Linked DNA regions of Saccharomyces cerevisiae S288C. The protein of the gene in region 3 interacts with the protein of the main gene of each other region in a biochemical or structural test. Each region holds a gene or a part of one and is shown on either strand. Other genes may lie near its edges.

Region 1 (3,578 bases), on a different chromosome or scaffold from region 3:
TTGGACATGCTGGCTCAAGAAAATGCTAACCAAGAAACGTCCAAGATCGTTAATAATAATGTTAATGCGGCGCCTATCTCAGAGAACAAAGTCTCACTACCTAGTGTTCCAAGTAATAAAATTAAACAAAGTGAGAACTCTGTGAAGGACGGGGAAGAGGAAGAGGATGAAGAAGATGAAGATGAAAAAGCATTAAGAGAACTACAAGCAGAAATGGGGCTTTGAACGTGTTCTATGCGGTTTAGATGAAAGAAAAAAAAAAGGTGTTCTTACTTTCCATGTTCTGTATACGCTCTTTTATATACATGAAGTTCATAATGCTAAGTCATAATTAATAGTTTTTATTTTTTTGTTGTCTTTTTTTTTTGCGTTCATAGGTATAGAAGGGAATGTGCATTCATTATTTTTATCTGTTATTGCTATATTATTGTACAGAAAAGATGAGAGAAGGAAAAAAAATAAATAATCAAATATGTATCTTTTTTTCTTTTACTTTGCTTTTAATTGACTAAAACCCAAATAACGAAAAATACAAAGATTATAAAAAAAACCTTTGCGGCTAACCATCTATTACTCTTTATCCTGTCGAAGTATTTCAAAAGTTCCCTTTGAGCACCACTAATGTTTAAATCGATGTCGTCTACGTTTGCATCAATCCTTTGGATTACTTCGCCCTGTTCTTGAACCATGGAGGCCAGTTGTTGGAAGAGATTTCCCACTTCCTGGATTGTGGATTCTATTGTCTCCACCGCCCTATTTCTTTCTTGTAAGTAGACGTTATTGGATAACTGTCCCTCTTCCATTAACATTAGTTGAGAGTCGTTTTGAGGGAAAGACAGTTCTCCTTGGTTGGACGAGTTGTTATTCTTTTCTGAGGATTCATCTAGTAGTGAGGTCATGAATGGGTTGGAGTTGTTATACGTGGTCAAGTCCGCGGCGTGATTGCTTTGCGTTTGGTCATCAGCTGGTGCATGTCCAGTGTCGGTGGTTAGTTTTTGCCATCTGTCTTTGTTAGCCATTTCTAGTCGTTGCCTTTCCTCCAATACGTCTTTAAAACTTCCTGATATGTTTTTCATTTGCGTGTTTAAAAGATTTACGACATTTTTGGAGTGCTGTACGGCACTAGGTTGCTTAGAAGATTGATTTGATGTGTTGCCATTCACGTCGGTTTTCTTGAGCTGACTTAATTGCACTAAACTTTGTTCGATGGCATAAATCTTCCTTTTGATCAAAAATGATAGCTCGGCAATCTCTACAGGGTTGTCATTGAACATCGGTTTCCTTTTGGCCAGCACTGCTAATTTCGATAATAATTGTGCGGTGGATGAAATTTCGTGAGCTATGCCAGAAGCCTTTTTTTGAAACTCAGAGACACTTTTCCCATTGCCGGTTGTGTTGTTGGCAAAGTTTTCACTTTCTTTCTCTTGTAGACGTTCCCTCTGCTGTTCTCTAAAGTTTTTGTTTCTTTTCTTGTAACTCAACACACTTTGTTGAAATTCTGAAGTTCTATCCTTTATGTTCATGGGAGTTGTGTGGTATGGTGAAATGGTCGTTGGAAACAGAGGTGGAATAAAATATATACAGTAAAGAGTGGGTGATTTCCGTTCAAAGGTCTAACAGGAGCGTCGATGCGGCGGTAGGATTTTTTTTTTTTTTTCAATTTCTATATTGACATTATTATCATAATGATTGTTTCGAATATGCCCTTTCGCCTCGCCTCGATCAATAAACCTACCCGGATATTACAACAACATAATAATACACCTGTGAAGGTAAAGAAAGAGCATTTCTCTTTTTTTTATTTTTTTTTTTTTTTACTTTCTTTACATTAAAAAAAATATGAAGAGTGTAATAGGTAAGTATAAGTATTATTTAATCATTACAATTTAGCTTCAATAGTATAGAAGCGCACCACTTCATCAATGGCTTTAGCCACGTATTCCACGTTTCCTTGATTCAATCCAGCAATAGAAGCTCTACCTGAGGCAACCAAGTAAACTGCGTGGGTTTCTTCAAGTCGTTTAACCATTTGAGGAGTCAATCCTGTAAAGGAGAACATCCCGCATTGATTTACTATATGATCCCAGTTGCCAGGAGTGCCCAACTTGACTAAATGGTCTCTTAATGCGTGCCTCATTTTCGTAATTCTGGAGGACATGGTAACCATATCCTTGTGCCACTGTTCCGTTAATTCTGGCGTTTCCAACAGTTTAGCGACAATCTTAGCGCCGTAGGCGGGTGGGTTGGACACTTCACTACGAATGATTTTGGCCAATTGAGATGTAACAGCAGGCTTTATAGTTTTGTTTTGAGCTTGTTTTGTAAGTGCTAGATGGAAACAACCTACACGCTCACCGTACATACCGGCGTTCTTGGCAAAGGACTGACAGACAAAGACGGGAGAGACCGTTGAAAGCTTCTCCACACCTAGACGCACAGCATAGGCATCCTTGTCCAAATCTCCAGTGGCAAACCCTTGGTAGGCGGTGTCAAATAAGGCGATGTGGTTCTTTGAGGCGATAGCATCAACGATTTGAACCCATTGTTCACTAGTAGGGTCCAGACCAGTTGGGTTATGGGCGCAAGAGTGCAGAACGAAAATGGAGCCCTCTGGAGCTTTTTGAATAGCATTTAGAAAGCCGTTTAGGTCCAAAGACTTAGTTTCGTTGGCCCAGTAAGGGTAAGTCGCCGTTTTCAAGCCTTGATTCTCAAAAATGGCCATGTGGTTGGCCCAAGTAGGCTTAGACAAATAGACCAGTTTATCTGGGAAGAATTTTGAAAAAAACTTCGCAGATATATGAAGAGCACCCGTACCAGACAGTGATTGTACTGAGATTACTCTGTCTTCCTGAAAGGCATCGGATTGCGTACCGAAGATGATCTTGGCGGCGTTAGATGTCAAACTTGGCAGACCGGTAATACCGAGGTATTCATGGTTGTAGGAGCTGTCGTTATGAATTAGCTTTTCGGCGGCTTTAACACTTGGCAAGACCCATGGTTTACCGTTGTCGTCTCTGTAGGCCCCGATACCCAAGTCGACCTTGGTAGCACGTTGATCTTGCCCGTACCTTTGCTTAATACCAAAAAGGGCATCAGGGGGCAGCAATTCGATGTTATTGAACAGAGTGGCAGACATTATCGCTCTTGTGTTCTTGTATTCCTGTGTTCTTTTGTTCATTAGAATTTGGACGGTTGCGCTTTCCCTTCTTAAAGTATCCACATACGTTTATATACCGACGTGCAAGGCGACAAGGTAAATGAGGCCGATCACGCTGACTCACTCGGTCCGACTCTCGGCGATCGTTATTCACGAAGACGAAAGATAGCCATTTCCAGTGGTGACCATTAGTATTGACAATATGTACATCGCATTAAACAGTAAGAAAACATTAATATTCCGTCAGGAATTCCTGTAAATTGCTCTTACTACAAACCTGCAATGCCCATATCATCATATTCAAAGTAAAAATTTCATTTTCCGTAATTATTCTTATCTTTGGGTGCTTTGTGGCAGCTACTGGAGTAATTGTGTATAATAGATGCCACTAGTGCAGTTAAATGAAATATCCTACATTGAG
Region 2 (3,600 bases), on a different chromosome or scaffold from region 3:
AACCTGCTGAATCTGGTCCAAATTCCTATCAATTTCCAATTCCATTTCGTCATCTTCTTCATCATTCTCAAACTGATATCTCTTTGCCTTTTCTAGAACATTCTTCCTCTGATATCTTTCCCGCACCTCACTTATGTTATTATTTGCGTTCATAGCACCCTCTATTCTTTGAGTGGACTGAGACAATTGTTGACTTGTTTGCTCTCTCATTAATTTTTCTTCAATTTTCCTATTCTTCAGCTGCTCTTCCCTCTCCCTTCTCCTTCTCTTGGAATTAAACGGATTAGAAACATGGACAGCCAATATACTACGGTTCAATTTTTTTAGTTCTGCAACTTTTTCATCTGCAACTTTATTTTGCACCTTCATTAAATCTAAGTTTCCTTCTACGTTATTCAATTGTTCACTTTGATGACCCAGCATACCCAATGTGTTCATACCTGCTCTTTCGGCGTCTTGAGCCATTTTTAGTGTATTTCTAGTAGAGGCTACGGAACTCTGTTTCGTAAATTTGATCTCCTGCTTGATTTCATCTACTGCTTCATCTTCTTCCTGCTGCTGGCGAGCCTCCTCTTCTTTTTGTATTTCTTCAAATGTTTTGTAACCCCTTTGATCTCCATATTGGTTATTTGTTGCGTTAAAGTGTTGCTGTTGCTGTTGCTGCTCATCCATGAACCACTGTTGCTGCTGCTGCTGTCTTGAACTATGATCAACTTCGGACGCATTTAAATCTATTGAATCTTCATTCGTCATTACTGCATTCAAATCAGGCTCATCTAATGCCGCTCTATTTTCTGCAGACTTGTCAGCATAAACTTCTTCAAAATCAAATTCACCTGTTCTAGGTTCTTCATTTAAATCAACTTCACTATTGCGTGCTGCTTCATCAGAAGCAATAAAAGAGGGCGTATAAGTCATTGGAGCTTGTTGCGATTGCGGTTGACGCACACTTCTACTAGAATATGGATTTGCAGACCTGTTCAAATTTCCATTACTATATGAGTCGTTCGCCATAGAGGCGTATGGATTTGCATTCTTGGAGCTTCCTTGTCGAGTACCGCTAGATCTATTAGTATTGGAGTCATACGCCCCGCCATAACTATTCATATCAGCGTAAGGATTTCTCTTTTCTTGCATCGGGTTTGCTAAGGGACTTCTTTGGTCAAGCGATAAGCTGTTGGTCGACGTTGAAACCGGCGGTTGCCTTGTTTGCCTCGAAGGCCCTACGTTTAAAGTGCTGTTTGAATGATTTAAACTATTACGGCCATTCGCATTCACCCAGCTGTTTGAAGTATTTTGGTTACTATACGGGCCATCGTTATTATATGAATTCAGAGATGTGCCATTGTACCCCCCTCCATAATCACCATAAGGCGCAGCATTGACGCTACCTCTCCCATTACTTTTATTAGCTTGAAACCTTGCATAAGGATCGTCATCATATCGGTAATCATCATTTTCGATAGCGTACGGATCTTGCATAGAATTGGATTCTGCTCCATTTCCGAGATCTTGCGTGCCACTTGAACCTCTATTAGAACCAGCAGTTGCCTCGTTAGCATTGGCATCTAAGGGAGAAGCATTCAAATCCTCAAGTTCATCCTGTGGCCTAGCATACTGCTCATAACCTGGTGGCGCGTATACCTTATCTTCAGCTTTATCATTTGCAAATTTACCGTAGGCGGCAAATTTCTCTTTTCTTTTCTTGCTAGGGTTTTTGACACTAATACCCAGTTCCATCAAAGTATCCTTGTTCTGTTCTGGTGTCGCTTCCTCTGGAGGCTTAATCTTAAAAAATTTCTTTAATCCCATTCTTTTGGTGTCAATGGTGTATTATTCCGAGTTACTCCAGGCTAGGTTCAGGAGTACCAAGAATGTACTTTATTTATTTATACACCGGAGCAAGTCATATAATTACGCAAACGATTCGAAATTGTTAAAAGCAGGATCAACGTATCTCATTTCTTTTTGAAAGACGGGTAATAGAAAGTCTCTGAGTCGCACCCCACATGGATATCGTACTATTCGTATATGGAATGTAAAATACTCGCAATACGATTTTATTTAGCTTCACAATCTCTCAAACTTATCGTCTTGATCAATCTTTACGTTTTACCAAATAATCGCCTGTTTCTGGCCATTTTTTGCTTATACCATCTACCATACTCGCTGTCCATATGTGACGGTGTCGTCTCCAAGAAAAATAACAATGTAAATTGACCCAGCGTGACGACAGTAGACTGTAAGTTATAGTACAATCATACTCTACCTTAGTCACTGTTCCTCCACTGTTAAGTAGAGAGAGAGAGAGAGTTTAAAGTGGAGAAGGCAAGAAAAAGTGCACTTATTACGTAATGGATCCCACCAAAGCACCCGATTTTAAACCGCCACAGCCAAATGAAGAACTACAACCACCGCCAGATCCAACACATACGATACCAAAATCTGGACCCATAGTTCCATATGTTTTAGCTGATTATAATTCTTCGATCGATGCTCCTTTCAATCTCGACATTTACAAAACCCTGTCGTCAAGGAAAAAAAACGCCAACTCAAGCAACCGAATGGACCATATTCCATTAAATACTAGTGACTTCCAGCCACTATCTCGGGATGTATCATCGGAGGAGGAAAGTGAAGGGCAATCGAATGGAATTGACGCTACTCTACAGGATGTTACGATGACTGGGAATTTGGGGGTACTGAAGAGCCAAATTGCTGATTTGGAAGAAGTTCCTCACACAATTGTAAGACAAGCCAGAACTATTGAAGATTACGAATTTCCTGTACACAGATTGACGAAAAAGTTACAAGATCCTGAAAAACTGCCTCTGATCATCGTTGCTTGTGGATCATTTTCTCCCATAACATACCTACATTTGAGAATGTTTGAAATGGCTTTAGATGATATCAATGAGCAAACGCGTTTTGAAGTGGTTGGTGGTTATTTTTCTCCAGTAAGTGATAACTATCAAAAGCGAGGGTTAGCCCCAGCTTATCATCGTGTCCGCATGTGCGAATTAGCATGCGAGCGGACATCATCTTGGTTAATGGTTGATGCCTGGGAATCTTTACAATCAAGTTATACAAGGACAGCAAAAGTCTTGGACCATTTCAATCATGAAATAAATATCAAGAGAGGTGGAATCATGACTGTAGATGGTGAAAAAATGGGCGTAAAAATCATGTTATTGGCAGGCGGTGATCTTATCGAATCCATGGGCGAGCCTCATGTGTGGGCTGATTCAGACCTGCACCATATTTTGGGTAATTATGGATGTTTGATCGTGGAAAGGACTGGTTCTGATGTTAGGTCCTTCTTGCTTTCCCATGATATCATGTATGAACACAGAAGAAATATCCTTATTATCAAACAACTTATTTACAATGATATTTCCTCTACGAAAGTGCGGCTTTTCATCAGACGTGGAATGTCAGTTCAATATCTTCTTCCAAACTCTGTCATCCGTTACATCCAAGAGTATAATCTATACATTAATCAAAGTGAACCGGTCAAGCAGGTCTTGGATAGCAAAGAGTGAGTTTATTACAACTCTGATACTGCAGCAGTTCAAATTTACCACTTTCCTCTTCAAGGTG
Region 3 (3,081 bases):
CTGAGTGCTTACAACATTTGATTCAGACCGCTAAGCTACTGCAAGTCCGTAAGTATACTATCGAAGACATTGATATCTTAAGAGGAATTTGTTATTCGCTAACACCTGCACAATTGCAAAAATTGATTTCACAATACCAGGTGGCAGACTATGAGTCTCCAATTCCACAGGAAATCTTAAGATACGTTGCTGATATAGTTAAGAAAGAAGCTGCGTTATCTTCATCAGGTAATGATTCTAAGGGTCACGAGCATAGCAGCAGTATATTTATCACTCCAGAAACAGGTCCATTTACTGACCCATTCAGTTTGATAAAGACAAGAAAATTTGACCAAGTAGAAGCCTATATACCAGCGTGGTTATCCTTGCCCTCAACTAAGAGAATAGTTGACCTTGTTGCCCAACAAGTCGTTCAAGACGGCCACTAAAACTGATGGCGCGAGAAACAAAATTGTACATGAATGCTAAAAAAAGAAATGACAAAAAAAGAGAAAAAAAAAAATGAAACTACATAGTTAATTAATAATAGAAGTATTTGTCAATAGTATGATAATGAAATCGATATTATGGAAGATATTAACCGCGCGCCGTATTAGTGTACACTATATTAAACTACATTTTGCTTCTTACTGAATTTATAAATTATGATTATATTATTATTACTATTATGACTACTGTATATATTTTTTAGAATTAGCATCGGGAACCGATGAGCGTTAGCTGAAATGGACGACGATAGGAACGATAATTACCACTAGTAAAATAATAACAACTAAGAATAAACACATTCTCATTTTTAGATCTTTCCACCACATTTGCTTTCTGACCCTGTTGGCGCCTCTCTTGAATCCTTGTGCGGAGATAGCCAAGTTATCAGCTTTGTCCTCAATGGATGTTAGCCTTTCACCACGTTCAGCAACCTTGTTGATATTATCTCTCATTATTCCCACCGTGTCATCAATCTCTTGTCTCAAAGCAGCAGTCTTGTTTTGGGAATTTGGGTTTGCGCCTGAGTTACTCTCCTCTGGAGGCACATATGGATCGTATGGCACTGATGACGACATCGTTGCGCGTTCTTATTTTGTATTTGGAAGTGTTTCGAATGTATGCCTGACTTACAGATACTATTCACTGAGCAGATAGTTTACCTTTCTATAAAATATTAAAGGCTGTTTCAACCAAAACTTGAAGGAAAACTAACTGGCTCCCCGCTTTTGCATCTTTTGGGTGCGACAACTGGTGTTTGTTTGGTTGCGCTGCACCATTCGCGCTATAATGCCAAAATCCGAAGAATTTTGAGCCACTTTTGCGGAAGACAGGGAGAAAAAATAAAAAAAAAGTCACGCGTATATCATGTGACCAAGATCACTATAAACGCTCCGTGGAATGCGCTTTTAGGGCGACTGAATGATTCCATGGTCATTGTTACAGCCGCCCGTGGCTTTGTTCCACGGACTGATAAAGGGATACGCTAAGACCAGAAAAACCCTTAATATTCAATATAGTACAGTACTACTACAGAATTGGTCGGCATATTTTTATTTTGTTCGTATTAATAATACACCTGCTGTCATCAGTACCAATAATTTGATAGGTTTTCCCCACATAGTGCGCCTTATGTAAGTATATAAGGAAGGACGGTTGGGCAAGCATCTTACTTTCTTATCTCTCCCCGTGACAGAACCATAGAAGATATCTAGCGTTATTATATTTCTATACTTAGTAAACGTTTCCGGTATAGTAGAAAAATCAAACAATAATTTCTGGTCTTACATAGTTGTTAGGATGTTGCAAGCGCCCTCAAGTTCAAACTCGGGTTTGAATCAAGGAAATGCTGCGCCGGACGGCCCACCTAACGAAACACAGCCGTACGAAGGCCTCGACGCGGCAGCTCAAGAAGAAATAAAAGAATTGGCAAGAACGCTGACGAGCCAATCTTCCCTTTTATCGCAAGAAAAGCGTATTACCGGCACTGGCGACCCGAATACACTAACTGCTGCTTCTTCATCGTCATTGAGCCGGTCAATTTTCGCTAGTGATATCAAGGGAGTTAACCCAATCCTTTTGGACGTCAATGATCCAGACTACGATGAGACATTGGATCCTCGATCAGAAAATTTCTCGAGTGTCAGATGGGTACGAAATATGGCACAAATATGCGAGAATGATTCGGATTTCTATAAACCGTTTTCATTAGGTTGCGCCTGGAAAGATTTGAGTGCCTCCGGTGATTCTGCCGATATAACATATCAGGGAACATTTGGTAATATGCCCATCAAATACTTGAAAATGAGTTGGAGGTGCATATCCCGACGTCTTTTCCACCGGACACATGGCAAGAGTGAAGATAATGACTCCGGTTTCCAAATTTTGAAGCCGATGGACGGATGCATCAATCCGGGGGAACTACTTGTTGTGCTTGGACGACCCGGTGCAGGATGTACTACGCTGCTGAAATCTATATCTGTAAATACACACGGATTCAAGATTTCTCCGGACACAATCATCACGTACAATGGATTCTCCAACAAAGAGATCAAAAACCATTACCGTGGTGAAGTGGTCTACAATGCAGAATCAGACATTCACATCCCGCACTTGACAGTATTCCAAACTTTATACACAGTGGCAAGACTGAAGACACCAAGGAACCGAATCAAGGGTGTCGATAGGGACACATTTGCCAAACACATGACTGAAGTGGCAATGGCAACTTACGGACTGAGCCACACTGCAGATACAAAAGTGGGTAATGATTTTGTTCGTGGTGTATCCGGGGGAGAAAGGAAAAGAGTTTCCATTGCTGAAGTGTCTATATGTGGCTCGAAGTTTCAGTGCTGGGATAATGCCACGAGGGGCTTAGATTCTGCTACCGCGCTGGAGTTCATCAAGGCCTTGAAAACGCAAGCCACTATCACAAAGTCTGCAGCCACTGTGGCCATTTACCAATGTTCTAAAGATGCCTATGATTTGTTCGATAAAGTCTGTGTTCTTTACGATGGTTACCAAATCTTCTTTGGCCCAAGTAAGCAGGCCAAAAAGTACTTTCAAAGAATGGGATATGTGTGTCCCGAAAGGCAG

What was found.
Region 1: the proteins of SNC2 (region 3) and SED5 form a complex in vitro, tested with the Saccharomyces cerevisiae proteins (3 studies listed by BioGRID).
Region 2: the proteins of SNC2 (region 3) and SEC9 form a complex in vitro, tested with the Saccharomyces cerevisiae proteins (5 studies listed by BioGRID).

What each region holds. Positions count from the first base shown.
Region 1 is NC_001144.5:194,950-198,527, forward strand, and holds SED5 (t-SNARE syntaxin), read right to left. Parts: upstream 1,524-3,578; coding exon 501-1,523; downstream 1-500. Other genes in the region: ESCRT-III subunit protein SNF7, read left to right, coding at 1-225; aspartate transaminase AAT2, read right to left, coding at 1,880-3,136. UniProt on the Saccharomyces cerevisiae protein: Required for vesicular transport between the endoplasmic reticulum and the Golgi complex. Acts as a target organelle soluble NSF attachment protein receptor (t-SNARE).
Region 2 is NC_001139.9:509,191-512,790, forward strand, and holds the start of SEC9 (Sec9p), read right to left. Parts: upstream 1,813-3,600; coding exon 1-1,812. Other genes in the region: nicotinamide-nucleotide adenylyltransferase NMA2, read left to right, coding at 2,355-3,542. UniProt on the Saccharomyces cerevisiae protein: Component of a SNARE complex that may be the effector of SEC4 function in exocytosis.
Region 3 is NC_001147.6:930,018-933,098, forward strand, and holds SNC2 (SNAP receptor SNC2), read right to left. Parts: upstream 1,065-3,081; coding exon 717-1,064; downstream 1-716. Other genes in the region: MYO2 (myosin 2), read left to right, coding at 1-428; ATP-binding cassette multidrug transporter PDR10, read left to right, coding at 1,786-3,081. UniProt on the Saccharomyces cerevisiae protein: SNC1 and SNC2 are vesicle-targeting proteins essential for normal secretory traffic between the Golgi and the plasma membrane. They may also be involved in vesicle fusion.